Mytilus edulis: one gene and its partner. The protein of the gene in region 1 purifies or fractionates together with the protein of each later gene. This does not show direct contact. Links are inferred from orthologs where the notes say so. Each region holds a gene or a part of one and is shown on either strand. Other genes may lie near its edges.

Region 1 (16,773 bases):
ACTCATTTATCCTAAAACTTGAGGCTCTAAAGGGCCTGAATCTCTCACCTTGGTCTATGTCCATATCAAACATTAAAGGACAATGTCTAAAATTGTAGATGAGAATGTACTTCATGACAGCTTTTTTTGTTGATCTGGTATTTGTATTTCTGATCTTTAAGTACGTTTAGTTTCTCACTATCTTTTTTTTGCTCAAAATACAAAAGAGGGTAAAAGAAATCATCATTCAAGGGCAATCACTCCTATGAAGAGCGACAGATTCTAACTATATCGGCAAAAAATATGACTTTTCAGTTTTTAATAGATTTTGCCTTGTTTGTCATTTTTGTGATTTCAGTCTTTTTTATCTACTAGTCTAGACACTAAATATCATAACTTGTCCCTTTATGACTATATAAAATTTTGAAAATTTTCACTTGTCCGAATCCATATTTACTAGTCTGGGGCATCGGACTAGTGGCTAACAATGCAGACTGTGATTTATATTGTTAATTTATCTATTTAAGGAATGACTGTAATATTTTTTCTGTCTATGAAGAAATAACATAAAAAATTTGGTGCATACTGAATAACGCGCGTTAAGCGGGTTATTTAACAGTGTGCACCACATTTTTTCTGTTATTTCGAATAGACAGAAAAAATATTACAGTCATTTCTTATAATTTAATTCTAAATTCCATTTTTAACCGTAGAAAACCATGCAAAAACGTTGATGACGTCACGGTCACATGACTAAATTAAATATTATGCCTATGGGGATGATAACAAAATAACATCAGCCAATCAAAAGATGTGTTACATCCAAAATTAAATTATTATAATTTAAATCATATACCGTATTTATTCTAATAAACGCCCCGGGGGCGAAGACAATTTCAAAAAGGGGGGCGTCAATTAGAGAAACGAATTTCGTACCTTACTTCATTGACCTTTACCTGAATTTTGTTGAAACAGACTATAGTAACATACACGTGTTTCTTATTGTCTCCATAATCTATAAATAGCGTTTATCGGTAATGTGACCTCATCAAATAATTTGTTAAAATTTTCGAATGAACAAGCGTGCAATAACAATAACATTTGATGTATAAATTTATTCAATATTCATTAGTTTAGAAATGCATGCCTGTTTATAACGTTGAACTTTAATAGCGTACTGTGTAACTGACAGATCTATTTTTGGAACTTGTACACACTGTGTTGTATTATGGGAGTGGATTAAAACATGGGCATTATTGATTTTTCGTTTCATGTTTCTGAGTGATCGGTGCGATGTCTTTGCAATATTGTAATGTGTCAGTTTCAATTTTATTTTCTTTAATACAAAATGGGGGCGTTTATTAGAAGTCAAAAGTTCTGAACGCACGATTTTCGGTAGGGGGGCGTTAATTAGAAGGGGGGCTTTAAATAGAATAAATACGGTAATCCATAAAGGAAAAAAAATGTTTCTCTCTTAATATCATAGTTTTAAAATAATAGGCAAAATTGAAAAAAATTGGGCAATAATTCCTTTATATACATGTAATTAGTCTTACAGTTTTGACATGTATGGACATGGTTGAGCTCATAATTTATATATTTGTTCTCCTTTCAGATTTTCCCTATATATAACAGTTCAAAATATAATAAAAACTAGAGGCTCTCAAGAGCCTGTGTTGCTCACCTTATACTGTATTTACTGATGTCAACCATCTTGGTTGGTAGGCGGGGCCATTAGACACATTTTTTTAAATAGATACCCTAGTAATGATTGTGGCCAAGTTTGGTTAAATTTGGCCAAGTAGTTTTAGAAAAGAAGATTTTTGTACAAGTTACAAAAATGAATAAAAGTTGTTCAATATTGACTATAAAGGGCAATAACTCCTTAAGGGGTCCTCTGACAATTTTGGTCATGTTGACTTATTTGTAGATTTTATTTTGCTGAACATTATTGCTGTTTACAGTTTATCTTTATCTATAATAGTATTCAAGATAATAACCAAAAACTGCAAATTTTCTTAAAATTACCAATTTTAGGGCAGCAACTCAACAACAGGTTGTCGGATTCATCTGAAAATTTGTGAGGGGATAGATCTTATTCTGATGGACATTTAAATATTGAAAGATTTGCCATAAATGTCTTAGTTTCAAAGATATAAAGCAAAAACTGCATTTTACCACTATGTTCTAATTTTAGCCATGTCAGCCATTTTGTTTGGTAGGCGGGGTCATCGGACACATTTTTTTAACTATATACCACAATGATAATTGTGGCAAAGTTTGGTTAAATTTGGCCAAGTAGTTTCAGAGGAGAAGATTTTTGTACAAGTTAAAAAAAATGACGAAAAGTTGTTAAAAATTGACTATAAAGGGCAATAACTCCTTAAGGGGTTGACTGACAATTTTAGTCATGTTCACTTATTTGTAGGTCTTATTTTGCTGAACATTATTGCTGTTTACAGTTTATCTCTATCTATAATAGTATTCAAGATAATAACCAAAAACTGCAAAATTTCCTTAAAATAACCAATTCAGGGGCAGCAACCCATCAACAGGTTGTCGGATTCTTCTGAAAATTTCAGGGCAGATAGATCTTGACCTGATCAACAATTTTACCCCCTGTCAGATTTGCTCTAAATGCTTTGGTTTCAAAGATATAAGCCAAAATATACATTTTACCCCAGTGTTCTATTTTTAGCCATGGCAGCCATTTTGGTTGGATTGCCAGGTCAGCGGACACATTTTTTAAACTAGATACCCCAAGGATGATTGTGGCCAGGTTTAATTAAATTTGGCCCAGTAGTTTCAGAGGAGAAGATTTTTGTAAAAGTTCACGGACGATAGACGACGGATGCAGGGCGCGGGACGACAGACGACGGACGCCAAGTGATGAGAAAAGCTCACTTGACCTTTCAGGTCAGGTGAGCTAAAAACTTGCATTTAACCCCTATGCCCTTTTTTTTAGCCATGTTGCTTGGTAAGCAGGGCATCAGACACATTTTCTAAACTATAGACCCTTATGATGATTGTGGCCAAGTTTGGTTAAATTCAATTTTTTGTCTCAGTAGTTTCAGAGGAAAAGATTTTTGTAAAAGAAACATTTTTTTTTTAAATTGACTATACAGGGCAATAACTCCTTGAGAGGTCAAGTGACTTGATTCACATAAAATATGCTTACTTTTAAATGAAATAATAACTGTACCTTAAATAGACCAGTTAGACATTTGAATTTTTTTGTCACTTATTGTGAACCCAAAAGGCGTCATTATAGAGGAAAGGGTTAACCATGTTGGTCATCATGGTCATATTGCCTTACTTGTAGATCTTACTATGCTAAACACTATTACTTGTTTATAGTTTCTCTTTCTTTAATAATATTAAAAACTTAACCAAAAACTGAAAAAAAATCCTGAAAAATTACCAATTCAGGGGCAGCAACCCAACTATGGGTTGTCTGATTTGTCTTAAAGTTTCAAGGCTAGAAGCTCTTAACCGGATGTACATATTATCACCAGTCATATTTGCTCTAAATGCCACAGTGTTTCAGAAATATTAGCCAAAATCATTTACCATAGGGCTATGTTTTTTTTTACTCGTCAACCTGAACCATGTTGGTTGGTAGGTTGGTATAACTACTGATCGTGTTTATTATAGAAATATTCCTAGGAACAACTACTTCCAGTTGCAGGTTCAAATATTGTAGATGTTTGGTCCAAATTACCTTACTTTAGACTGCTGTACCCAGATGAGTTTCACTCCAGGTCCAGCTCCACCAGAACTTGGTTACGATGTCATATGCAGGGACAGGAAAACAGACGCCCATGGAGGAGTCCTCATAGCAGCAAAGACAACACTTGGACTTAGCCATCTTAATTCAGGGAAAGACACAGAACTCATATCTGGGAGCATCAACATAAACCAGAAAAAGAAAGCCATAATAACCTGCTTATATAGACCACCAAATAGGATTGATCAACAAACTGCAAACAACGCAATACAAGACATCACTGATCTACGCAAAAACCACAAAAGTAGTATTTTCATCCTTGGTGGAGATTTCAACTTACCAGACATTGACTGGAAAAACTACACAATACAGGGTACTCAAACATCAAGAGATATTAACAATGCATTTCTCGAAATGGTAGCCAACCTAAACATACAACAGTTGGTAGACAAACCAACCAGGGGAGATAACACCTTAGATGTGCTGTTTACATCCCATCCAGGCCAACTCAATAGATGTAAAACCATAACACCTCTTGGGAACAGTGACCATGATATAGTTCTTCTAGACTTTTCACACGGCTTACAAAAACCCAATCAGCAAAAGAGAAAAATATATCTATGGAAAAAAGCTAACATTGCCATGATTAATCAGCAACTCAAAGAAAAATACAACATCTTTAAAAACACAGATTTTGAGGATGTTAACAGCCTTTGGACCAACATAAAAGGCTTGATTTTAGATACCATCAACCAACATGTACCAACCAGGAACACTTTAACAAAACATTCCCATCCATGGATGAACTCAGAGCTTAGACGACTCAGTAACAAAAAGCAGAGGGCTTATACCCTTGCCAAAAGCAGTGGGAAAACACGAGACAAAAAGAAATACAAATTTCTGAAAGCACAACTACAGAAGGAGGCTAGACAAGCACAGAGTAACTACATGGAAGATATAGTAAGCAACGACTTGGAGAAAAACCCTAAAAGATTCTGGTCATATGTAAAGAGCCGGAAACAAGATGCATCCCAGATTGTGACCTTGAAGTCAAAAGATGGCTTCCTACTACATAGTGACACAGATACTAAGGCATCTATACTGAATCAGCAATTCCAGTCAGTGTACACCAAAGAAGATACCGGTACGTTACCTGACCTAGGCACAAGTCCACATCCAACCATGGACAATATCGTCATCCATGAAAGAGGTGTCTACAAACTCTTAAAGGGACTCCGACCATTCAAAGCAACAGGCCCTGATGAAGTTCCAGCAAACATTCTCAAACAGGCAGCTGAATCACTAGCTCCTTATCTTACCCGGATGTTCCAGCTTTCCCTGGACGAGGGTAAGATACCAGACGAATGGCGCAAGGCAAACATCGTGCCAATCTTCAAGAAAGGAGAGAAACACCAACCTTCAAATTACAGGCCTGTGTCATTGACATCCATAGCATGCAAACTACTAGAGCATATTATTCATAGCACAGTAATGGATCACTTTGATCGACACAACATTCTATGCGACGAGCAACATGGATTCAGAAGTCGACGCTCATGTGAGATCCAGTTAGTTGTAACACTAAACCAGATTGCCAAAAACATGGACCAGGGGCACCAGACTGACATCATCTTACTGGATTTTTCAAAAGCCTTTGACAAGGTACCACACGAACGCTTGCTTTTGAAACTGGCATACTACGGGGTGAAAGGATCAACATTGAACTGGATAAAGGACTTTCTAAGCAGTAGAACCCAGTCAGTTGTGCTAGAAGGACATACATCAACTCCTTTAGATGTAATATCAGGAGTTCCACAAGGGACAGTCTTAGGTCCTCTACTATTCCTGACATATATCAATGACATGCCAGATTGTACATCTTCAGATGTAAGGTTGTTTGCGGACGATAGCCTGGTGTACAGGAAAATTGGAAATCCTGATGATGCTGCAACTCTACAGAGAGACCTCACTGCTCTGGAAGAGTGGGAACACAAGTGGCAGATGTGTTTCCATCCAGAAAAGTGCACAGTCATGAGGATATCTAACAAGCGCAACACCCTGCAAACAACATACACCTTGCATGGACACCAACTAGAAGTTGTTGATAGCGGAAAGTACCTTGGAGTTACCATTAGTCAAGACAGTGGAATAAGCACATTAATAACACCACAGGAAAAGCAACCAGGACCCTCGGTTTTCTCCGCAGAAACCTGGGCCGATGCAAACCATCTGTAAAAAACACAGCCTATTGTGCACTCATCAGACCATCGATGGAGTACGCTGCCACAGTGTGGGACCCCCATCAAACCACCTTGATCAAAGACATCGACCGAGTACAGCGTAAAGCAGCACGATTTGTTTACAACCAGTACACAGACACCTCCCCAGGATGCGTCACTGGACTATTAGACCAACTCCAGTGGGATCCACTACAGTATAGACGAATTAAACAGCGACTCGTCCTATGCTACAAGATACAGAACCAACTAGTGGAGATACAACCAGCTATCTACTACACATCTGGGGACAACAGAACAAGGGGTGGCCACAGACTTAGACAGATAAGAGCTACTAAGGAAGTATACAACAACTCCTTCTTCCCACGCTCTATAAGAGACTGGAACCTTCTGCCAGACACAGTAGCAGCTGCACCAACACTCACGGAGTTCAGGGCCAGATTAGCCAGTGTGCCCTGGACCCAGATGCAGCCTAACTAGACATCAGCCTGCCAAATTGTACAGTGTATATAGTTTTAATCAGTGGCGGATCCAGGGGGGGGGGGGGGTTCCCCTTTATTTTTGCCGATCAATGCATTTGTATCGGGACATATGTTTTGCACCCCCCCTTTCGAAAATTCCTGCATCCGCCCCTGTTAATTATTTGTTAATATTTACTTTTAATCAATGGAGAGGTCTCCTGTTTTACCGAGCCGAGTTAGTAAATCACTCAAATATGAGGTCAACTCCTTAACGGAAGAAGAAGAAGAAATAGGACAAAAAACATCAAAATAGACACTTTTTGAACCTGATGACTTACTTTGGTGCAAAAAGAGGAAGGGCAGGGCCAGGCCCCATGAATCGTTCACTGTTGCCTTTTTTGTCTGTCTTGTTTAATTTGGTATATTTTGATATGTCTGTTTTTATGATGTGAGGCTTGCCTTTAAAATGAATCACACTGAGACAGAGCAACGATTTGTATAGTCCTAATAATTATGACGTCTTGAAGGACTCCGCATTATTATAATTTTATGCTTTGACGCCTTAATTTCAAGACGTAACAATTATTTGAGTAGGATTTGTATTTGTATAGTAAGACTTAGGTTGGTCCCCTCCGTAAAACATTCAGTATGCCTTCGGAATATACAATAATTTCAATAACGGCCGGGAAACAGACTAAGTAAGACTTATCCTTGACTCATGGGTTATTTCGTACTATCAAGAATGCATTGTGACGTCACAATTTCCATTGAACAAGCATGCATATGACGTACAAAAAGATATTAATCTGACCATGCTATATAAATCTTTGACAGAGCCACATTTTTTTTTACCTATATATATGTATCTGACAGTAATTTTAATTCCTGTAGTCTAATATATATTTTTGTTTGTGTTCTTTTTTTAATTGTTCATGAACATTAACAATGTGTTAACTGTTGATATTTATAGCCTTTTTCTTCTTCGCTGTGAATACCACTGTCACTCTTATATAATTATAATCAATTTAAGGTTTATGTACCCTTCTGTAGCCATTTTTGTTCGAACTTTTCAAACTTCAATTGTATCAAAACTACAGATATTATGAATAATAGAGATAGGCCATTTTGTACATATTCCAAGGGGAAACTTGATGCAAAGCATTTTTTTTTACTGTTCCATTGCATTTAATAGAAACAGAGGACATTGTGGCAAATAAATCAAGATTTTTATAGAAAATCCACAGCCTTTATCCTTGTACTCTCATATTTGGCAATTTGATGACTGATAGATATAGGATTATTGCATGCAGTGCTAGCATTGATTTCCTTAAAACAAGTTTATAAATGTAGTTATTGGTTAAGACAAGTATAAATATGGCCAAAATCAAGTACACCTTTTAGGGTGCGGTCGACTTTAGTGACTCAGCACGAGGTGTTTTGGAATTTACAGGTTACTTAGAACTTTTTGTAAAAAATAAACACTAGCACATCATAGAAAATCAAGTGAGTAATTTATGTTTCAAATTTTATAACAAAAATTTCTGTATTAAAGGATGTGGATTTTCTATAAAAATCTTGATTTATTTGCCACAAAGTCCTCTTTTTCTATCAAATGCAATGAAACAGTAAAAAATAATGCTTTGCATCAAGTTTCCCCTTGGAACATGTACTAAATGCCCTATCTCTATTATTTATTATATCTTTAGTTTTGATACAATTGAGGTTTGAAAAATTCGTACAAAAATGGCTACAGAAGGGTACATAAACCTTAACTATTGTCAGTTTATTGTCTTAATTTTGTATGCCATAACCATTTAATGTAAATGTGTTTGTGCGAATAAAATATTGTCTATTGTCTATATCTACAAACTTTATTATTTTTTAATTTTCGGATCATTTCCAGAGACATGCAGCTCAAAAGCTTTTTGTGATGTACATAAATCATAAATGCATTTATTTTTTACTTGGTGTTCCTTACAGGAAGGAGATACAGAGAAGCTTAGAAGAAGATTTATGGAAATCTCAATTTGATCAGTTTTGTACTTCAATCTGACCCCTGTTCTTTTATGCAATTATTGAATAGCAAATTTAGGATACAGGATTTATATATCAGAACAGATTCCGTGCCTGAAACAATGAATATTTCACTGAAATGCATTATGAATCCTACAAATGGCTAGCAGACACCTGTCATCCGGGCATATCTTTAATTCCCGTGTCAAGCGAGAAGAAACGAGACAACATTACTGATGTGAAATGCTGGAACTCTTTGCATTTTCTTGAAAGGTAATACTGAACATTTGTTAATTCATATCCACGAAAATATTTTACAATTTTGTACAGATTCAGGGACCCCTTCAACTGACACAAAGTGAAGTCATCTTCAGGCACTTGTTGATCTCCAGAAATAACTTCAAGAAAAAAGGGGGAGGGGTGTTAAAATTGCTCAGTGACATGTTGACAGGTCTGATGTGATGGTTCTGTGAAGAAGATGACAACGCAATGCATTTTTGCGTATTAAGAATTCAGTCCTTATTTATACTCACAACCTAAATATCTTAAAAAAACAAATCAGTCCAGCAGAAATTTATCTTTGCAGGAGGAACTTGCTACTCGTATATCATAATAAATAATCATAGAAAATTCTACTTGTTCAGAAACATAGTGATAATCAGAGTAAACATTCTGCCTGTCATGCTTTTTTTTTATATTAAATTGGGCATGGATTTTCCAACCCCCCAAGAGTGACTGGGGAATAGAAGTATGATCAATTGTCTTCTTCCGACCATGGCCAGTAGTAGAACTCTTGCCAAAGTGGGACATCTCTTTGGGTTAGCGTGATGTACAAGCTGTGCATGATGTACAAGTTTGTAGCCATGTCTGGTCAGAATGGGGATGTTAAATCTGATGCCAAGTGTGAAGAGAGTGGCTGTGCCACACTTACTACATGTTAAGAACCCTTGCAACAACTCTTTGAGGGGTCCGTTGGTGGCCTGTTGCAAGGCTAAATTTCTGTGTCTATCGATCTAGAGGAGACCTTATATATATCCATTAAACCCTCATTTTCCAATGGCAGTCAATTTTCTTCCTAACCTTGAACCTGAATGGCCTCTTTTACATGACCTACTTATTGTATTTATTGTTAACTTTGTTCTTGTCCTGATCATGCATGATATATTTGTCACTGGACGTTAAGCAACCAACAATTAATCAATCTTTGTGCGAATTTTGGCCCCATTTCAGAAGAAAAATATGCTCTTTTTTCCAAATTTTCTGCTCTAAAATTCCGAATTGTAGAAAGACATTGTAGCAAGATTTTTTTGATGTCCTATCATGGTTTTTTGTTTACAAATCTCTTGAGTCTTGTTTGCAGTTCATGCAGTTATTCTTTTTCAAAATGCAGGATTTTCCTCCTAATTTTTTTTAAAAAGTTCTTGGGGGGGGGGGGGGTGTCCCCAAACCCCCCTAGCAAGTTGCACACTACATCTGCATGTGTGCCCTCCCTATAAACTGTTCAGCGTAAACCATTATAGGTCAAAGTATGGCCTTCAACATGGAGCCTTCAATGGGTCATACTGAACAGAAAGCTATGAAAGGACACAAAATGACTTGTGTAAATTTTATAATAACTATATATACTTGTTAAAAGGAATTACCCTCTTTTATGTATTGAAAAAAATTTTGAGTCATTATGAAAAAGAAGGATAACCAATGAACCAAAAAACTTTTTAAAGGAACATTCTTTTAATCATCAGGAAAATTTTCAGCAGTTCATGTAGTTTTAGAAATATATACTTAAATCCATGTTCCTGTACATGCTCTCTAGTCTCCTACGTGAATACATTTCTATCTCGTGAAAAAAAATGTTTTGGATTAAAGTATATACATGTAAAATGTACATGTATACCACATAAATATGTATGTTTTTGGTGTACTGCTTTTTCACCGAATTATGATCCATTGTAGACAGTATTATTAAATATGAAAATTATACATCATATAAACCAAACGTTTTTATAATGCCTCCTGATCTGTAGCTTTGTTTTTGTACATATATAATTTATTGTACCAAATTTTTCATGAACAGTCAGTGTTTTTTTTGTTGTTCAGGCAGTTCTGGAGCTGTCTAAATTTTGGTATACATTTATACATGTATTTATAATGAAGACTTACAGACCAATGTTGGCTTCTGGTTCACACAAATTGTTAAATAAAGATTGTTTGACTGAGAAATTTTTGCATCTGTCTTTTATATCCAGTATCAATATTTACTGAATCAATTCCTTACAGTAGTGATTGGCTTTGAATGTCTGACAGTTTCTGCCAAATTTTCAAGTATACATGTACATATTACATGTATCTTGTAAACAATTGTTCGAAATTAAACAGCTAAAATAATCAGATTCTTCGAATTCAGTAGAATGAATCTTAATGTGTAAATGTAGTTCGATTTTAGGACCTTTTTTGAAATTGGTCCACATTGAGGTCCAAAAGTATACTACAATGTATGTAAGTACTTGGTCAGGAATAATAATCAGACAGCTGGTCATTCTTTGTAGAAGCAATCTAAACTACATCAGCTATTCTTTTAAGCTTTTCTAGATTACAACATAATGACTAATCTGACATCTCCACCAACCAAATAGTTAAAGTGGTAATTATACTAAAGGAAAATAAAAACAAAACTGCATTTGTACCTATTCATAACTTTTCAAACATGATTAAGAAACTCAATAAAAAGTCCACCTTTAAAATTTCGATTGTTCTTAGACAAATAACTTGAAATGTTACTTAAGGGGGAATCACAACCAATTAATGCAGGACATTATACAGGTTAATGCCATCATGGCTGACATTGCTAACAATGGAACGTTGGGGGTAAAGTTCAAGGTTTGTCTTTTATCTCAAAAAACCATTATAGATAGAGTAAATTAGACTGGGTCAGAATTGTAAAGACTGGTGAGATTTACTTTATAGGTCCTAAGGAGAGCAGATTGAGATGGTTATCCTTGTAGGCCTTTGATGGTGTCTCACGTAAATGCCTTCCTTACAAATTACAGGAAGAACACACAGGTGGATTCAATCTTTCCTAGCTTAATGTACTCAACAAGTCATTGTTGAGGGAGAATCCTTGGAGAAAGTTCTTGTGGTTAGTGGAGTCCCCCAAGCGACTGCACTTGGTTCATTATTATTCCTCCTATTTATCAATGACTTACCTGACAACATAACATCCAACACATGACTATTTGCAGATGATTGTATAGTATACAGAACAGTATATATATATACTAAAATACTACTAGCTATATATAGAAGATCTCTAAAAATTTGCTGAATGGGAAAAAACCTGGGGCATGCAGGGCTACCAGACGACTAGGATGCAGAAGTCGCTTTCCCATCCGTCACTTCGCTTTGCCCGACCATCAAAAGGGATAACAAGTCACCCCATTGTTTACGATACTCGCATTCAGTCGCTTTCATCATCAGACATTTTCAATTTTAACCAAGTTGATAAAACATCAATTTTTTTATTAATAATTAATGAAATTCAGACAGAAACTATTTATTTTCTAAAGAAAAGAGGTTTAAGCATTGACTTTACAGTGTGTAGCAGGTTTATATTTAATAAAAAGACCAACTTTTTATCACTGCATGCACTTCAGGTACTTGGTAATGAGTGTGTACATCAATCTAACTTTCGGCGGTAAAATAAGTTTATTACTTCATTTGAAAGTAATGAAAGTTGCCTTCAGTAAATGTTTAGTCGATTTATTGCATTAAAAACATCATATTCCTTTGCAAATAGCTTGTCAAACAAACATAATTTTACTATATGGATATAATTTATATTGATTATTTCAAAATATTGATTAAAGTTGCTTAACTCTGAGACTATTATACTAATATCAATATATTTAGATGGCCCAGCTTAACTTTCTATATCTTTTGGTGAGAAACACTGAATTTCATAAACATGATAAACAAGACAGTTTTTAATTAAATTATAATTCATATAAGGTACTATAATTTCTTAACCTTTTTGACTTAATTAAATAAAAAATCTTTCAGTCAGGGGTACTACGTAATTACTAGCTTGTACAAGTAATTTTAATTTACTTGAAGAAGTAAAAAAAATATACTTATATATGTAAGTTTGTAGGATACTTATACAAGTGAATTTTATTTACTTGTATAGGTAGAACAAACTTGACTTAGTTATGTCCCTTAGACATTCAGATTTTTTTACTTATATAAGTGAAAAAGTCATCTTATCTTCATTTCTTAAATTCTTAGGATTTCTTTGCTCTAATAGAATTTAAATTTGTTTGCCCATTGCAATTGTCTTTACAAATCATTTAAGTGTAATTTCATGGACAATGAAAATCCCATTTGTCTGTTATCTTCAGAACACTGGTCATTTACAAGAAAATTTGAGAAAATTAAGGGGAGATTATTCAAACATTATAATTTACTTATATAAGACGTATATTTTTTGTTTACTTCTTCAAGTAAATAAAAATTACCTGTACAAGTAGTACCCCTGACTGTCTTTTTAGTGCTAATTATTTAGTTGGTGGTTTCTCATAAGAACCTTAACTTAAACAACTTTGTATTTGAACTGTTAATTTAATTGTATACTTAGATATGAGTTGGACAATTTAAAAAGAACATTATTTACATTTGACCCTTTATTCTATAGTAAAATCAAAACATTGAAGAACAGCCCACGAAGGAGCCTTTTCTTTCAAATCTCACCACTTCTCCCTATCAGTTTCAAAAAGAGAATTCACTTCTCCCAATGATTCTGAAGTAGTGTGAGCCCTAGAGCATGGACTTTCACCCACAGAAGTGCAGTGTACAAACTACCACCAGATCACTTTCACCTACATTGTACAAAACACTCATACATGTACATGCTTAAGGGACAAGTGCTAGAAAGATCAGACAGAATTTCATGAAGCTTTGTAGTTACAATGTAATAAGGAAACATAATGTAAATGTGCATATCCACAATATATTTTCATTAGGTAACTTTTGTAGGAGTTATGCATCTTTGACAATTTGAGGGTGTAGGGTATTTGAGTTTCCTCTCAAAGTTTTTTTAAAAATTTTTATTGGATTTTAAACAAAAATAATGGAATAATTTTGCAGTACATTAATGGTTATACAATGTATAATTATACAAAATTTATTAAATGAAAGCTTAAATGCTTAAATGTATTTTATCTAGCTATAAGAACAAGATTGAAAGAGGAAAAGGATTGATTGATCAATTACATGTATTGACAATGTAGTGAATGATTGTAAAAAAAAAGAGAGAAATATTGATTAATTTAAAGTTCCATCACCAGCTACAGGGCTCACCACGTGCACACTAGCAGTTTCTTGTAATAAATGCCAAGTTTATGTACAAGTACATGTAGTCATAGATTTTCTGTCAAGTTATTACATGTTTCTATTTGATTTTGCCAATGTCTTCTGTTTCTTATAAAATGACTCCTCATTTAAATTGCATGTCAAATGCATGTTAAATAGTTATAAAAAAGACTCCCACACGTAAATAAGACGGGGAGTAATTGTTCTATTGTTAATTGCCTACAGGTTTTCATTTGAAGTGACCGGTCATCCTAATTAACACACTAAGTCAATGACAATTCTATCTGGCCACACACTCAAACCTATATTATGTCATAAATTTGATCACTATTCAAATTCAGACAGTATCAAGCTTAGGTATATATTGTATCCAAATTTGCCTTAACTGTTCAGGGTTCGGTGTCTGCAGTGGTATAAGGCTTCGCTCAACGAAGCATTTTATTTTAATGTTTGTATGTCCTTTTTTTGTTCCACTTTTAAGACATAGTACACATACAAAATGTAGTAGGTTACTTCATACATGAGGTTCAATAAATACAAACTTTTTTACATTTATTTGTTAAAAGAAAATTTCTGATCAATTGTTTCACATGAAAATGAATGTAGAACACCTGTAAACAGTGTTTTAAATTTCAACATCTAAGAAATTCATGTTTTGAGTGCATTGTAAAGGAAATGTTCAAGACATTTATATTGATGTTTTAAAAATATTTGAAATTTTATGTTTATTTGTTAGAATTCACATATATATCACACAAATGTACTAAGTTTTGAATGCTTCTTTTTGTAAATTTATTGGGGTGTAAAAGCGTTGACCGAAGTACATTTTGTATGAAGTGTCACGGTCAACGCTTTTACAACCCTATAAAGTTACAAAAAGAAGCATTCAAAACTTATAATTACATTTTTTAGCTTTGATCATGAAAACACGAATTTTATATATTTTATTATTTAATTCATCTGTTCACTTTATTGTTGGAGCATGTGTTATCATGAGTGAAAAGTTGTATTGAGCAATGCAACTGCTTACGGAATAACACGTGATGTGCAGTTAGCCAATCAGAATAAAATATTATAATGAAACATACATCTAATGTAATTATATGTATGTAGAAAACTATTATGACAAAATTTTTGTATTTTCCTTTGAATTAAATGTATACAATGTATAAATGGAATAATATTCTATCATAATAATAAAAATATTTGTTTTTAATTGCATGTTCCTATAAATTTGAAAAAAACATTAAACAATTAAGAGGCATAATTAGATAGTTATCTAAATGTACATTAATTTTGGCATTATTTTCTTCCATGTTTCTTTATAAGGAAATTTTAATGGTGCAGTTGTGGTTTTCATACTATAAACAAATTAATGAATACTGTCTGAAGTTAAATTGACTTCCCTTTTACGATACATATTGAGAAAAATACTTGATGTTGTTTATCAATGTGTGAAGGTCGGAAGGGCAGTTGTTTAACAAGTAGTTGTTTATTTATACAAGTATGACAAATTTATCAGAAGGATAATTTCAAGGATAATATATTTAGGTTCTACATTAGTGTTCCTGATTGATTATTGATTGATATTAAAGTACAAGGTTGTGATGTTTTTCAGACTGACGGGCAGACAGGACAATGAACCCGTCTGGAAGTAGCATTCCTGTGGTGAAGGAAGGATATTTAATGAAAAGAGGTAAGCTTGTTTATTCAGATTTCCTGTGAAATTTTACCATTTGGAAATTGATTACATGTCCCTATTATTGACTACATGTATATGTTCTTGTTAAATAGCACGTAGTTTACAGGTAGCAATGTAAGTTTCTCACCAATGGTCAATAATTTCAACAGCTATTTGTGTAATTATTATCAGTCATCATTGTCATGGGTATGATGGATGCTTTTAGATTACAACGATTTATAGAAAGTGTAATAAAACACATATGACCAAACAATCATGTCCATTACAGTCAATGGGTGACATAGTGTATGATAGTACATGTATGTAGCTAAATATTGATAGTTTGTAGCACATCAACCTCAGATGTTACTATAGCCACTTATATATTCTAATGTGGCATAATTCCTGCTGGAGTTTTCCTTTATTTTATTTTGTTCAGCAAGTTGTTAATGTTCTCCATTATAAAAAAAATAACCTTAATACTAAAGTACATTTACAAAACAAATGTACATCACACCCAAGTACAATATATCGATGACTAATATTTTTATAAGTGAATGTACATGTATGTGAGTTTAGACGATCACTCTGAAATTTATTTTTTATTTAGTAGAAAAATATACATCAGGTTTTCAAAAGGATCAACACCAAATTATTAATACTCATTGTGTCACAATGATACATGCAAGGAGAATACAAGTTCACAATTGCCATAGGTGTCCATGAAATACATGTAGAAGATTTGTATTTATTGAACAGTTGAAACAGGGTCTAATACCTGAAGAAAAATCTGTGTTGTATATATACTTGATGACTCTGACAATGTTCGATAAACAAATATTCTCAATATAATGATATAACCCAAAAATTTGAAATGTGTGATTTTGTCACTTGATATGCTTCCTTTTGATATGAGTGGGATCTTATATATCTGAAATAAACAATAGAAGTTGTGATTAGGTTTCCGTTTGCTATTTCCCTATTAACGTCTACTGTACGTACATATTGACAGAAAATAGAATAAATGTTAAAAAAATTAACTAGATTAGTTTTAAATTGGTTTGTAATGTGTTTTTACCAAATTAGATTCATTGCCTATCAATACATTTGACAGTTACCTTACTTTATCCAATGGAGTCCAGAAGTGTATATTCTATTTTGGAGTAAAGACTATGTAGGTTAAACCTCAGAGATGAAGCGACTCAACTTTAAAAATTCACCAAAGTGTAGTGGTCACAATATGATTAACAGCACCCAAACATGAAGACAAGAATTTGAATTAGTTAATTTATGAACAATTTCAACTGATAT
Region 2 (17,334 bases), on another chromosome or scaffold:
TTTGTTAAATTGATACATAAACGAACAACATACAAGAACAGTTATTTTGTTTTTGCATAATTATAACAAAAATATTGGAATATTTTATGTTATGATATGTTATGTATTCTATGTAAAAAAAAATAAAAGTATTTAAAGAAATTTAGTTCCCTTAATTAGATAAATTTGCCTGTCTTTGTTGATGCTGCAACTGTATTACCTGAGTCAGCCATATTCCTGACAACCACCACTTTGTTACTGGTGTGATTAAAATTGTTTATTTCAATTATCATTTTTTAATATACAATTTTTTAATATATTAATAACTTAATTGCACTTAAAATAAGATTGAAAGTTCCAGTTACAAAATGGTTATAGACCATTTAGGCTTCTCTGTTTTAATAAGTCCTATTGAGGATGTGTAACTATTGTAGCAATTTTTTGTTATTTGTCTACCGCTAAAACTTCTAGATTAATCATTAATGGATGAAGATTATTCCATAAACATACATATTATTACCTAATAGTCAGTAATCTAACATTTTAAAACCAAAATATGTTTAAATCATTAAAATATAAATATATCTGCATTCAGTAATTTTGGGATAACTTTTATTCACAATATGAAGGATACTATTGACTTCCTGATATAGATAACCTTGTATAGGGTTGGCATCATCTGAGGTAGCTTTCATCAATACACTTATCTGAAAGCAGTACTCAACTATTAGGTGTGGATATACATTGTATGTATAAAGCATTTATAAGCAATTTATTCTAAAAATATTATTTTAGTTTATATTTAATTTTAGAACACTTTTCATCATCTTTTTGGTTCATTTATATACAAATGTAAATCTTTTCAAAGGATTGTGTTCCATGATTTTTCAAATATGTTTATGTTGAATCAAGCATTAATGTATGTAATTTTTTCCTGACAATTTGTACATGTGATAGCATTCATTTTAAAGTGTTCACTATAGTCTGTACAAATATTTTTTAACAAAGGTGTCACTTCTCAGAATAGACAAGACAGTTTAACATTTGTACAAATATGTCATTTCAATACAGTTAACTGTCACTTTATAGGAGTAGAGATTATTGACAAATACGTTTTTTTAAATGACAATAATTCAATTAAGTAAATAGATTAAATTCTGTAAATTGTAGACATTTTGAAAAAAAAGTTTTAATTTCGGGCAACTTTGTCTCTAATCAAGGGGAGACAAATGTACAGCAACTTATAAATTTTCTCTAGACCTTCTCTTATGTGCCATAAAATACCCTTTTTTCGTATGTCATACACCATGTACACAGATACATCTGTGTCAAGCACTTAAAAATGTACCACAATATATATTACCTCTTTAACTTAAATTAATGAAAGATGTACATGTACCTTATTAACAAATGAAACTTTGTCCATGATATTGGCACCACTGTCACATTACAGAACTGAAGTTTTGTAGAATATTTCATATCTTCTCCATTTCCAAACAATATGAAGATCTGAAATTATAAGATTTAATGAAATTATCAATATACATATTATTTTCATTATTATTGGTACATGAATTTTAAAAGTATGTACCACAAATTTTGTCTATCTAAGGTACAAGGGTAATATCTATTAAATAAAGCACTTTTTACTTTTTTTTTTTTTTTTTTAAACTTTTCATAAATATCTTAGAGAAATGAAGGCTTTAGAGCAAATGCAATGTGATTTCCATTACAATAAATAGTGGCAACACTCATAAAAACATTTGATCATCTCTTATTTTTGAAAGTGTCCACGACATTGCTGCAGGCATGATCAATATAAACCTATAAGTTTCATAAAATTCTGTTAATGCAATTTTACATAAAATCAGCAATAATTCAAAGGGCATTATATATTTGATTATATATATTTCATAAAAATCTACCAAGAATTATATCCATTACGGTGCTTGTAAGGTAAATTTCCACATTATTGAAAATTCCAAGGAGCATAACTCCTTTCAAAAATTTTGATGAGAGCGCTAACAAGACCCACAGGCACTAAAATTGGCAGCGATAAGACCTCGTGGACAGACACCCTGTATTTCTATTTCCCCCAACTATTAAGTGTTGTTCAGGGGACAATATATTATAATTATAACGTCTTGTAAGGCTATATTTCAATTTTTTGCCTTTCAACTCCAAGACATCATAGTGGGTCTCATTGGGGTCTAAGCGTGACGTGGGATTGCTGATTTTTTGTAAGTGTGACACGTGAAAGTAATTATTGTGACGTGAAAACGTGAAATGAAGTCTAGAAGGATGCGGGAAATTAGAAAAAAATGAGAATTGCTTACGTACATAGTGTGTAAGTGGGATACGGGAATCTGACAAAACAATAAGTGGGATCCGGGATCAGAACACCCCATGATCTAGTCCAAATAATTATTTGGACTAGACCATGATCAGCTTATCCTCATGTCCTTCCCAAACAGACCACCCCACATTTTGGTAGGACATTTGTTGTAAATATCTTTGAATGTGCAATTTTGATATTTAGTAATGTTATAATTTGACCTAGTAGTAGCTTGATTAAGCAAAAGATTTTGATTTATGGCAGAAAATCCCTGCTTTCATGATATTCATGTATTCATGAATAAAGTAGAATATTCATGAATATTCATGAATATTCCACTTCCATTCATGGTTACTATTCCAGTGTCAAAATTATTCATGAATATGAAACATGAATTAAGTGGAATATACATGAATTCTTAATAACTGTTTGGAGACAACAAATAAATGTTCTTAAAATGCTAGTCACTACCTATATCATAGTATAATCAAGTTTCCTTCATTCAAAATTGTTTTTTTGTGGTAATAAAACCCTTTTTGTCAATATGAATAAACATGAATAAGAATGAATGTTTGGACTTAGAATTTTTTTGCATACATTTCATGAATAAGAATGAATAATGAGGAATAAATTTTGGACTTAGAATATTTTTCCATTGTGTGACAAACATGAATAAGCATGAATAAAGCTGCATGATAATGACTCAGAATTATTTGTGGCAAACGGCATAAAAATTGATAATGAAATTTGTTCTAGGACTTTTGTATGTATATTTTTACTTGATTGTTGATGCTGAATAACATACATGTACATGTACATGTATGTATTCCACAGTTATATATGATATATAACTCGATGAAATACTTTGGAAAACCAAGTGCACATGACAAAAAACTCATGAGTAGTTTGATCATTTAGTGATGAAAAACTGTGAACAAACACTTGTGCACTTTAAAACATTGTTTTTGAAAATTAAAGCAATAATAAGATACTGATGCATGGGCAGTAATTTTGGTAGAAAAAGTACTCATATTAAATTCTAACAGCTATTATCAGTACAATTCATTTGTACCCTGTCCATATAATTTCAACGTTTTGAAGGCTATGTAATATTAGCTTGGATCGTCTGTAAGTCAGGTCACCTGTAAACTGTTTAAGTACTGTTCATCTTGTCAATTTAGTGTCATTATGATCTCTAAATTCTAAAGTAGTGATTTACCGCGAAATGCAATGGCTGAGCATTGAATAGAACATTTCACCTAATTATTAGGGGAAAATCATTAAAGTATGGTATTTTTTATTTTTTATTCCTGCAAAATAAAATTAAAAAAATAAGATGAAATACTAGTTGCAGCTGAATTTTACGATAGATTTCATTCACAATACTAAAATTTACAAAGAAAAACGTATATTTGAGTTAGAACAAATACATTTTAAAATATTTCTAAAACACCCATATTAAGGGGAAGTTACTCTTCGTGATTTTAAATTTCAACTAACCAAACCCTGCAAATCGGCCGTAATTGCGTGACCTGACTGGCGGCCTGTTTTGAGAAGTTTCACTGAAACGCCGTTACGGGGACGAATCAACTTCGGGCCGATAATATATGGGGCGAGATTGACACATTGACGGAAACGGACTGGCATACGTCATCAAAATACGCTGGATAAACAAAATGGAGAATCACAACGCAAATGTTTTCAGATAAGTATTTTAATTTAACCTATAATAATTATAATAATTATAAAATGCAATTTGTTTAGGCACTATTATAATACATTTAGGATTAAAATCTCAGAAAACACCAGAGAGTTTTGACAGACAATTAATGTAAGGGAGCTACCATTTGATTTTTATGGGGGGGCTAGGATGAAAAATTGTGTCCTGCATTTTTTTTTAGTTGTAATCTCTGTCCTGCCTTTTTATTTTTCACTCTTTTCGGTCCTGCCTTTTTTTTTTTTTAGTTTATCCTGACTTTTTTTTACCTAAATTGTCATCCTGACTTTTTTTTTTTGCAAGTGTCTCATCCTGCCTTTTTTTTTACTCAAAATTCCTGTCCTGCCTATTTTTTTCAAATTTCATCCTAGCCCCCCCATAAAAATCAAATGGTAGCTCCCTAATGAATGTATGTGGTGTTGTCACATTCATGTACAAAGAGAAACTGTAGGTTAATAATGTGGAGTCAATAACTTTAAAAAAATGCACTACCACATTCTACTTTATAATGTAGAAATTAAATTAGGTGAACAAACTTGGTGAAAACTATAATCTTCAAGGGATAAAAAAGGGGGGGGGTCTTAATTTGCGTTTAGGCTTCCAATGTAAGATACAATACATCTGCAAAATCAATAATGTTTCTATTGAATTTATTGCTTCATAACCTCTTGAACAATTGATTCTTTGTGGATATTTTTGTACTTTTAGGGGATTAAATATGAGCTGCCAGCAATTATATGAAACAGATTTTATGCAGACAACATTTTAACACCTGTATTCAGCAATTCTAGTTGGAAGTATAGAGACAGCAAGTTTTAAATTACAGAAAGGAAGAGAAGTTTATATCTGACACATTAGTTTTAATATTATAGTTATTAAATCAGTTTTTGAGTGAGGTTTTATTAAGCTGACCATAGTCAATGTTTTTATTCTTAGGTTTTATTCCGTCATCATAACCATGCAGGCCATATTTTTTTCATGGATAGGATGTTAATATTATTATTTATTTAAATATTTGAATATGATCAGATAAACGATTAATGTGTTTAATCCATAATGCATGGCAATTAAAGCACCAATATTGAAAAAAAACAAAATATACTAATATTTGCATTGATTTTTTTAATGACATTCTGATAAGAATGATCTCATTTGTTTTTTCCCCACAGATCTTTGATATAAGTTAGCTCATTATCATGTCAAATGTACAATGTATGCTTATCATTAACTTTTAACATGTTTGAATTACCCACCTGGCCATTAAAGTCTACATTTAAGGTTTCAATTTGTGTTAAAATCATGAATTTTTATAATTTTATCTGTAAAGTCACTTTTATTGATCTACATGAATTTTAGATCCAATAGCCACCCATTTATAGTATGGATCCCAATTCCAACCTTATCAAGCAATACGGGATGCATGGTTGCATGGGTGTTTTACTATTTCAAAAAAATGTGATACATACATGTACTACAAACGGGTGGATATTGGATCAATACAGTGGCGGATCCAGAACTTTTCATAAGGAGGGGGCACTCCAGTCATGCTTCAGTGATTCCCTATATGATCAACCAAATTTTTCCAACGAATTCATATTTCACAGCTATCATGATTTAAAAATATTTTAAACTTAAATGTCTGTATTTGCTTTTGGTTTTCAAAAAACCTCTCAAGGACACTTATTTCAATATTCATGGTTAATCTCCAATATTCAACCATTCAATATTCATGGTTATTCTAGATTATTCAACCATTCAAATGACAATATTCAAGGTTATTCTAGAATATTCATCCATTCAATATTCATGGTTATTCTAGAACATTCAACCATTCAATATTCATGAAATATTCACATTCAAGGTTATTCTAGAGTATGTATTTAGCATTCAATATTGGGATAGATATATATTTTTCATTCATGGTGATTCTAGAATATTCTATCATGCATTATTCAAAGACATCCTATTTCATATTCATGAATATTCTATAGATAATTATTCATGTTAATTCTTGGTTATTCAGTTCATACAATATTCATGTATATTCAAGCTTATTCAGTTCAAACAATATTCATGTATATTCAAGGTGCCATTTAACATTCATGAATATTCATGAATATTCATGAACTGTTACCTTGAATATTCATGAACATTCATGAATATTATTCATGAATATTCATGAATTGTTCATGAATATTCATGAATTATTCAAGGTCAGGAAAGCAGGGATAGACTCTAATTTGAGAATAAAGGTATTATCTGTCACTAAAAAGAGAAAGCATTTTTATACTACTGGTGCAATGTTTTATGTTGATATTTGTTCAAATAAAATCCTATAATGGTCTGATGACCAGAACCAAGGGTATTGAAATTATGATTTCCAACAAATAATATTTATTTACCTTTTCTTTTTGGTTTTTGGTCATATTAAATCTTTATCAAACAACCGCTTGTTTTAATGGTTTATTCAAAAACCATAACAAATTTATAAGAATGCAAAGCTCTACTATTATCCTATTTCGCGTTTTTTTACTTTCAATCCTAAATTTTTTTTTAATCGGATAAGCTTTAAGTTTTGTGTTAACCAGTAAAATCAAAATGTTTAAAGGGTCCGATGTGTAATGTTAGCTTTTTAATAGTATGTTTTCATACAGATGATTCAAAAAAGTGTACTGAAAGTATATACTACCAGAGTCTCTGATACTACCGGGGCTCACCGTTTTGTTTTGGTGTGCAAAGTAACATAAAATGCAGGGAAAAACCGAATACTTATCTGTAGTATGATTAATCAGGGATAATGAGAGCATATACAAAGTAGAGGCTCCAAGAAGCCTGATTAGCTCACCTGTCAAATTTGCATCAAATTGATAAAATGCTTATCAAAAATAAGGAGAGATGTGAAAGGATTTCCGTTGATAAAGCTATTCACAAGAGTTCCAGTCATGGATAAAGGCGATGCACAAAAATACTAAAAATGAGTACACATCATCAAGCAAGGACAATAACTCCTTTAAAAAAATCAGCTAACAATTCTGGTCAATTTTGCAGTTTCTTTCAATTCTACTAATTAAAGTTTCGGTTAAAATTTAAAAAAAGGTTAAAAATTTGCTTTTAAGCGAAATATATAACCTCTCCTGGGGGTCAAATGACGATTTTGGCCATGCAAATATCATTTTTATGCCTGATTACAATTTCCCCTTTATTTGTTATCGTTTTGAAGATACTAGTCAAACTCGAAATAAAAAAGAAGGTGAAAATGGTCATTTCAGCGCAATAATGCCTTATCAAATGTTGTCTTGACAGTTTGGTCTAAATGAATGTTATACCGATCTTGACATTCTGAACATGCGTGTCCTGTATGCCGAGGATTTATTTTCTTAAGCGATATTAGTTTACAAGATAACTTATAGACAATACATCAATTATATCCTATCTCCCTTTATAACCTTGGCAGGTTGTCGTGAATCATTAGACACATTTTTAAAGAGAAATATCATAAGGATGATTGTGGTCAAGTTTGTTCAATCTTGCTCAGTAGTTTCAGATGTGATGGGGAAAAGCTTGCAAATATCAATTTGGCAAGTTGAGCTTACAAGAGAAGGACGAACTAGAAAGAAAGAAAGAAAGAAAGAAAGAAAGAAAGAAAGAAAGAAAAAAAGAAAGAAAGAAAGAAAGAAAGAAAGGAAGAAAGGCAGCAATATTTATCAACAATGACTACAATCAAGTGATGCGGATGCAAAAAAATGAAAGATCTGATGATAAACACTAAAAGACAGACGGAAACAACAGAGAGTAACATTTTCTACAGATTATTTGAGGTTCAATAACCAGTGATGTCACCTTCAAAACCAACAAGCCAAATAAACCAAAAAAGATAACAAACCCAAAATCCAGCATCCATGCACCGACCAATAAAGAAAACCCCATTTTAAATCAGTTACTCAGTTAATCAGACCCGCTGTAGACTGAACATTCTTTTATAGTTGAATATAACATATGAGTTTTTTTTATTGTTGCATGCCGTATGGTTCTCACACGAAACCCATACAGATGCAGATACAGAGGCGGGGTTAGGGGCAAAGGGGACCCTCTTTTGTGGAAAAGTTTTTAAAAGTGTTTTTTTCTTAAGTCTAAGAATTCAATAAGATATATTGCAACTTAAAGCGAAATAACTCCCTTTTATGTGAATTTCATACCTTTATGTCTTGATTTCATGATTATAATTTATTCATAGAAGTATAAATTCTACATATACATTTACCCTAATGCACATGTACTTTCGATGTGCTTACACAATTACAATGCCTTCTAAATCCCGAATTCCACAAGGTTTAGTTTTGTGTATGTCGTAGGACAAGTCAGCAAACTGTTCCTCATCCCCTAAAAACCAGGTTCAATAATATAGTAGTAATAAGAAGCGACAAACAGTTGAACAAACAGCTATAGTGGTTTAAAAACATTGTATTATAAAAATATAAAGTATAAACAACTTATGACTGGAGGGAAATGATGAAGACGTTTACTGCATGGACAATCACATGGTGAATTAATTCAATTTCTGATAAAAGATGTATACACACTTGGTATTCAATAGCTCCAGGCCCGTGTCTTATACAAATTAATAAAATATTTCATTCTGATGTCCAGTCCTATAAAGTGTAAAGACTCTTTCATTTCGATCATTAAAATAAATGCGCCATCAAAAAAGTTAAAGTCTGTTCTAATTTCTAATTAAAATATATACTTAGTAAAGAATTGAAGTATATATATATTTCTGAAAAAAATTATAAAAAGTGCTCTAAATGGTACGTGTTGATTTAAATATTTATTTATTATAATATTTTGATTGTTGTATGCTGAACAGTCAGTGGCCCAGAAATAAATACAGGGCGAGAACAAAAAATATCAAACAAGAACAATACCGTGTTTGTGCCTGTTTTGAATCGGGGTTCTTGGAAGAACATATTCCTGTGCCAAAAAATCCTACGTGGACAAATTTATTCTTTGTTATAGTTGTAACCAATCAAAATGCATAAATATATAAAAATAAGAAGATGTGGTATGATTGCCAATGTGACAACTCACCTTGAACGGAGCCCGTACCGCATGGTAAAAAATGGAAAACAAGACGTTTAATAGTTTCATGCGTCCGAAAATGATAGAGGGACGTGACTGACTATTTAACTATAGAAGGGATTTCACTCTCTTTTTTTTCCTTGTCACTTTTTAGAAGTTTGCCTGTTCCACTTTTCAGAGCGCTCCTTCATTACGTATGTACATTTTCAATCTATGTGGAACGATCAATCACTGTGCACAGTTTGAATAATGTTGATGACAATTCGTGAAGATGGAGGTGAAACACTTGGAACCCTCTATAATACCCATAACAACAATGATTAAGTTCTATACAAGGCAAACACAAAAATCTGCCAAAGATTTGATATCCACTACTGACGGACTGAATTGAGTCAAAGTTTAATTAAGCATGTTTTCACATCTGATGGCCAAGGTTACAATAAATACAATGAAGTATAAAGATAAGAAGATGTGGTTTAATTGACAATAAGACAACTCCTTCACCAGAGACAGAATTGTCACCATACTGCCTTCAAAATTGAACAAAACCCATACCGCATAGGTTCTGATTCGTTTCTGTCCCGATACTTTTTCTAAAGATGCACTTTGGTTCCAATTTAACATTGCTGTAAATTATTTCCTGTTTACTAATAGACAGTAGCAATAGTTATCTTAATTTACCAAAATGTCAAGAGGACATACTTTTCCTGTTTAATCTACCATCTCTATTTAACCTAATCAGGGTAGAAAAATATATAGGATTAATAAATCTCATAAATATATGTAATAATTTCATTATGAGGGATTTCCATGTCAGGTCAATTTGTGATAGCCAGTTCATTCTGCTTAACTATTAATACAAATTACTACAAAATGACCTATCTGCGCTTATTAACCTAGAAAGGACTATGAGAATATTATGTTATTTTGTCGAGTAATGATATTTAATGCTCTTTAATCACAGCAGTAGCTGGTTATAATCACCCTAAGGTTTCTTTAATTTTACGCTACATGGTCAAGATTTAACAATTTAGACGAAAAGTATTTAAATTCACATTTTATACATACTCAATACTTATAAATACTACCTACATTTCAATTCCAACGTCAGATGACCAAGTTTATACAACATTATTTTATATGAAATGAGGCATTTCCTTCCTTTCTGTCTGAGTGGTATTTTATAACATTTTGTGGATTTTTCTTTGGAATATTCTGAACATGGATTCTAATTATAATCTAACTCTACAGTGGAATCAAGATTATTACGACAAACTACTTCCGAGTGTTTTTCTTCAAGGTGTAATTTTTCTGCTTGGATTTATTGGAAACATAATTGTTCTCATGGTATATTTCTTTCGAATGAAAGCAAATCGAGACGACCGCTATTTCATTCCGATCTTGGCAGTTTTTGATCTAATATCCGGCACAGTTGCATCTGTGTTTTATGTATTGGAATCTATATATTTTGTGGATTTTCCATCCACAGGACTCTGTAAAGGTCTTCTTTTTGCAATGACAAGCACTTCCAGTTTATCGGCATTGCTTCTTATAGCCATTGCTGTTCAAAGATATTTGAAAATATGTAAGCCGCTAGGAGAACAAATGGACGAAGCAAAACGAAAAATATGTCTGGCTGTTATCGTTATATTTTCTATTGTTAATTCGTGTCCTGTTTTACTCTTTTCTGGAAACAAATATATCGAAGGAGAATTCAATGGCTTGAACGTTACCGGATGGACGTGTTTTACTGGCTCTGGGCAATACCCAGACTATGAAGCAATTTATTATTACATTATATTCTTTTTAATGGTTGCAAACATACTTACTATTTCATTTCTCTATATCCCTATTGGACTTCAGCTATATCGACATATAAAACTAAAGGATTTACGACGACCAAGCATGGACATTGCTTCTACACAATTTGAATCTATATCGGAAACCAAACCAAGCGATGGAAGCACAGGCGAAATAACTCGCAAGAAAACTATGCACGCAAGCAAAATCAATTTCAACAGCATGTTTTTGACTATTATTATATTTTATCTCGTTTCTTACACACCAACTTGTGTTTTTCTAATCATAAGTAAATTAAACCACAAACTTTGGTACAATATTTCTACAACAGAGATGATAATCTACTTTATTTTACAAAGATTTTATGTGATAAATCACGTGGTTAATCCGTTGATATACGGATATTATGACTTGAAATTTCGCAAAGAGGTTGTCAGTCTTTTTCGTTGCTCATGATTCTTTGTGCATACCGTCTTTTTTTTTTTGTATATTTGTGTATTCTCAGGCTTAGAAAACATTATTACAGTTAGTTTGTAACGAGAAATTATTCATTTGTTCAATATGAAAATAGAAATTAGCGATGAAAAATTAAAAAAAAATACTTCTTACTGATCTTCCAGTAAAGAAGCAATGAATGGGAAAGAGAGCAAGTTTAATAAGATCAACTGGGACTTTACATTTTACCAAAGAATACTTTCTAATTTAAAGAAAACAAATTAACAATGTGAAAGGAGATATTATCGACAATTTTACGTCCCTTTTTGTGGCGTTGATATATATTTTTGTGACGCACAGTTCATAATTCTGTGTGCTGTATTTGTATACTATCGTAAATTAATTTTATGTGATGGTTGTTATACTGTAGTTAAACGTTGAAATGTACTATCATTTTGTTTATTTGTGTATATTTCTGTTCTGAATTTCCTCCCATTTATTTGTACTGTATTCCTGTCATGCAATGTTGTCATTTTAATAGCGGTATTTTGACACTGCCATATAAGCGGGAGGTTTCACTAGCCATAAAACTATGTTTAACCCACATTTTTCCTTTAAATTTCCTGTACCAAGTCAAGAATATGGCAGTTATTATAAAAAAATCCGCTTCTATGTAGGTTGGCTTTTATTTTTGTAGCAGTTCAGTGTTTCTGTTGTTCCGTTGATTTCCTCTTATAGTTGATTTGTTTCCCTAGCTCTGTTTTTGTTTGTGCCCCGGATTTGTTTCAGTTAATTCGATTTATGCCAATAGAACAGCAGTATACTACTATTGCCTTGATTTAAAATAAGATAAAAGATGTGGTACTCACGTAGGATCGCCAATTCGACAACTATCTAAATGACATAGGTGTTAGAAACACTGAATTGGTTAACATATGGCCTACAATAATAAACAAAACCCATACGGCATAACAAGCTAAATAAAAGGCGTCGGTACTTTTTATAATGTAAAACAATTCACACGAGATCTAGAAAACCAACTGTTTTACAAGAGTCCTAAAATTAAGTTATCTTACCAAATAAATACTAGCTTTAGAAATTAATCAGCTGCCCATCTGCATTATTGAAAGTATAATAAAATTAAAGCTTGGGATCACATACTGTTTTTTTGGTATATCTGCAGATGCTTATATGTCAACGTATATAATCGATAAGATATCCATTGTGTCTAAAAGTGAAGGATGGACAAAGACAATAACTGGCGAACTGATGGGGTGCGTGAACTGACCATGACAGCTAATGATCATGGTCACATTTCTACAAAATATAATTTAAATATCAAACAAGTTACCATTATTTTGTATTTTGTTGTAAGTATTTCAATGAACATCGGTGTTGGTGACAGTTGAAAATAAAAATAAGGAGATGTGGTTTAATTGCCTGTGAGATAACGAGTCATCAGAGTTCAAACAGGTGTATATAAGCAATTACAGGTCAACGTACGGCCTTCAACAAACCCCATACCGTAAAGTATGCATTATACTAGTTTATTACAAAACAATTTATTAAAAAAATGACAGATAGGAACCCATAAAAACTCCCGAACTGCAGGCTACTGACTTGGAACAGGACAATAACAAAGTGGCGGAGTTGAAAAAAACAAGTGAAGAACAAAGTGTTAACATCTGTTGCAATTGGTGTTAACTCAAAAGATTCACTGATTGTTACGAAGCAAAATATCCAGGGCAAAAAAAACAACAAATAGACACGGATCACTGATGAACATAAAGACGTCATAAGGCAGCAACCATTTAATTTCCTGGGGGGGGGGGGGGGAGTGGTTTTGGAAAAAAAAGTTTGTTTCCAGGTTTTGGTGGAAAAAATAATTTGTTTTGGACCCTGAGAAAGAAAAATTGTTTGTTTCACCCTCAGCTGCCACTATATGTAATGCTAAAATTGAAAGAAAAAAATTGTTTTCGGTTTGTCGCTAAAAAAATAGATTGTTAGATTGCACAGAAAAAAAAACATAGCCCCCCCCCCCCAGAAAATCAAATGGTTGCTGCCTAAACAGTAGGGAGAAACGCATGGCTGTCTTATGTAGTGTTAAAATATGAGTAAACAGTCACCGATATGATGTAGGATTATGAGTTATCACCACTACCTACCCAGCTAACACATAATATTTTCATGATATTATTGACTGGTTATATATATGTTTTTCAAAAATATTACCAAAAAACATTTTAAAGACATTTTTTTTACATCAGAAATTATGCATTAATGATATTTTATCAATGATATTTCGTCCCAATGTTTGATTGCTAATATAAACACATTTTTGTAAATATTTTTTTATAATGAATAATAAATATTTTTTGCTGATGTTTTTAAAACGTTAAATAGACAGTTTTATAAATGAGAACAATTGTATGCCGAGGAGATATTTCTTTGCAATATTCAATCAATATCTGATGGACATTTTTATATAACATTTAATATATATATTTTTTAGATGTGTAAAAGAAATATTTATAAAACATTTTGATTTACATCTATGTAAAGAATAGGTTTGATGTATAATAAAATATCTTTTTGATGTAACATCAATATACTTTTCTTGTCCTAATCAAAAATATCAAAATGGTAATATCTAATGAATATTTCAATATATACTGGTATAGATAGCGATCTATGTTTGACCGGATTAATTTTTTCAAAACAAATTCAGTGTAAGTACCGATAGAACAATTTTTTAATAAGTGTTAAATTGATAACCTTCAATAATAAGTTTATTCAAATGATCAATGAGGCAACATAGTTCGTCTCTATATTTACGGGCTCTATAAACGGCAACTATTACCGTAAAAGATTAGGATGTGCTTACTCGTTTTAAAAGTTTTCAACAGGTACTGCCAAATTTCCTGATTACATTTTTGTATATTTGAAACAATTCGGTATTAACGTTTTTGATAAAAAATTTATGGTAAAGAAATCATGGCCATGAATTTTCCATTGATCCATAAACTGCAGTCATTGAAACCTAAAACTCGACTGCAGGCATAGACATAACGAAAAAAATGTGGAATATAACACCCTGTAAGAAGGGCACAAGGAACATTACCGTCTTAAAAAGAAAAAAAAATCACAATCGGTAACGAAAGACCGTCCCTTTGAAGGGCTGTTCTTGTTGGTATCAAAACAATATACAAGCAAAGACATCAAGTTTTGATTAGGCGTCGCTGATCAACGGCTGTACAATATATACTAGTATACAAAAGAAACGATACAAGGCAATGCATTTTTCATATATATATATATTATATTGAAATTGGGTACACTGTACCAAGGTTAATAATATCCCAATTTGTTTAATTTTTACCGAGTGCTTTTTTCCTTGTCAAACAAATTCATTTACATTTAAGGCAAAAACGTGATTTTTCAAAAAAATTGTTAATTATTTCTAAAATCATATTTTTTTACAAAAAATAAAAATAAATCGAGATTAGAACTTACAATTTAAAACTTAAACATGGACTGCTTAAAACTTTGAATGCCTTTGCAGATATTTAAATACTTGTATAAAATTAATTCAAAGATGGCATGAAAGATGGCATGATATGAGGTGTTCTTGGCAATTAATTTGACAATACTTGTCTTCCCAACAGTAAGGTGTACTCTGCGCATATTTATGTAATTTTCATGATTACAAATAAAATTAACGGTACCAATTTTCCTGCACCAGATACAAAGATAGCCTCTGCTCAGTTTTTCAAATTGATTTTTTATCTTTGATTCTTATGCTTATATAAAAAAAGAAGATGTGGTATGATTGTCAACGAAACAACTCTTTACAAGTGACACAGAAATCAACAACTATAGGTCACAATACGGCCTTCAACAATGAGCAAAGCCTACACCACATAGTTGGACTATTATGCTGTTTGGTTGTTGCCTCATTAGTTTTTATCCACATTTTTTGAAGTAGGAGTTGGTAGGCCTCTACACATGCACTTAGAAATCTTTTGGGTATGAACACCCTTTTATCATTGGTGGTGTCTGGGGAACTGAGGAACTCGAAAATCTTTATTGCAGTTTATATCTTATATATGCTTTTACTAACGCATTCTTACTGTAACGGCGACCCTATGTTTTGGAACAGTATTATGTCGCCTGTAAAATGGACTGTTGTAAAATTAACATTTTATTTCTATTGTTAAACATTTCAATCTTGTTTCGTTACATTATTATGCTATAATTCATTGAATTTATTCTCAGATTTTGTTGAATTTGCAACTTATAATTTAGTTATAGAATGTTTATATTTGAATAGTATTTGTTAAATAATTGCTAAGATAAATAATTGTACTGGACTTGTTTTCATAAGCCACTTTGGTTGATATAACAACCTCTTATTTTAGCTTTTATTTAAGAGCTTACTGGTCTCGCAGACCGTGCTTCACTGTCTAACTGGTCTTGCACAGACCTCAGTCACTGTCTACACGAAAGGTCTAGCACAGACTTCACTGTCTAGCTGGTCTTACACAGACCTCAGTCACTGTCTACACAAAAGGTGTAGCACAGACTTCACTGACTAACTGTTCTTGCTTATGACCTCACTCACAGTCTACACGAAAGGTGTAATGCATTTCACTGCATCAATGTCGCTATTGTGTCTAGCATTATAATGCATCTAGACAAACGGGTTAAAATGACAGATGGAGCTATGTCACTTTTATGTGAATTTTCACTTGCTTTTCATATACATGTTTCATGTTTTTCAAAATGATCTTTACAAAATTGTTGATATTTGTCGAATTGTAATTTGCTAAATTAATAAACTATGAAAACTTGCTAGTGTTAAGTTTTGCAAAGCCAAATATGAAGGATCAGAGACTCAGGATTCCGATATCTACTCTTTATACGGTCTGGGTAAATATGTAAACTTGAGATGACACGGCCGAAAATACACAACGTTAAATAAAAACCCCTCCGATTACATTACATTGGGAACGTTAATGATGTACCTGTGCGTTATGAAATAGTCGATCTTTGGTTTTTAGTTATAGTATTTAGAGAAAAACATATTGCTAACCTTGTACTTTCGATTTTTACTTTCACTTTAACAGTGAAGATTGCACAACATTGCATTGAGCTATGGTATCGTCTAGAAAAATCGAAATAATGTGTCAGATGAGATAAAAGAGCTTTAGTTTGATTTCTTCATGATTTTGTGTTAGTTTGAAACAGGTTAAACATGGTGGATAAAGCAGCAGTGATCGAATACGTAAAACTGGTAAGTAATCTACCGTTTAAAAAAACCCAATAAAAACAACAACTTGTTTTTTTTACTATTTAGTTGATCAGCGATTTGGTATTTAATCAGGTGTCAGTTCCAAATGATGTCAATTTCTAATGCTTTACAACTGCCAATATCTGCACCATGATTTCGGATTGATTTTATAAATATTCCAGACTGAGTTTGGACCTTTTTTTTTACTAACAATTATATCTGTCCTTATCTGTAAAACAATTCTGGTTTTTATCCAATGGGAGAGAGATACACCTTGAAATTGATAGTGTTGGACAGCTGACTTGAAGCCCTTATAAACTGTATCTGATGTATACAATACTGTCTTCCAGTTGGTTCCAATGAAATGAATGCACTTTACAAAGAAAGAGTTCTTATTTAGATCTGAATTATATGGTATATAGTGTCTAGTGTAAACCATGTTTGAATTTTAGCGGTGTCTTTTTTACTGAGTTACATGTATGCACCATTGCTGAATTTTTCATTTTTCTGTTCCCAAACTTTAGTTTGCATCAAACCAAATGATATGACACTGATAGACCGTGCTTGTTACCACAATATACAGATCAAGTTTGAATTTTGGTAGTGTCATTTACAGGTCTTGAGTTATGTCCCTTCATAACATTATATGCAAGTGGGGTATCATCTGTGTCCATAATGTCCCTTCATAACATTATATATATG

The links.
Region 2: the proteins of AP-4 complex subunit mu-1-like (region 1) and AP-4 complex accessory subunit Tepsin-like purify together in Homo sapiens (co-immunoprecipitation; 3 studies listed by BioGRID and IntAct, with this or other methods). This does not show direct contact. The link is inferred for Mytilus edulis from reciprocal best matches to the Homo sapiens genes AP4M1 and TEPSIN.

Annotation. Positions count from the first base shown.
Region 1 is NC_092346.1:61,085,388-61,102,160, reverse strand, and holds the start of AP-4 complex subunit mu-1-like, read right to left. Parts: upstream 8,628-16,773; 5' UTR 8,563-8,627; coding exon 8,502-8,562; intron 1-8,501. Other genes in the region: RAC serine/threonine-protein kinase-like, read left to right, coding at 15,420-15,477. UniProt on the Homo sapiens protein: Component of the adaptor protein complex 4 (AP-4). Adaptor protein complexes are vesicle coat components involved both in vesicle formation and cargo selection. They control the vesicular transport of proteins in different trafficking pathways.
Region 2 is NC_092352.1:20,596,382-20,613,715, reverse strand, and holds the start of AP-4 complex accessory subunit Tepsin-like, read right to left. Parts: upstream 6,487-17,334; 5' UTR 6,434-6,486; intron 6,383-6,433; exon of another isoform or gene 6,322-6,382; intron 1,489-6,321; 5' UTR 1,406-1,488; coding exon 1,379-1,405; intron 687-1,378; coding exon 614-686; intron 1-613. Other genes in the region: cholecystokinin receptor type A-like, read left to right, coding at 10,329-11,363; uncharacterized protein, read left to right, coding at 16,597-16,635. UniProt on the Homo sapiens protein: Associates with the adapter-like complex 4 (AP-4) and may therefore play a role in vesicular trafficking of proteins at the trans-Golgi network.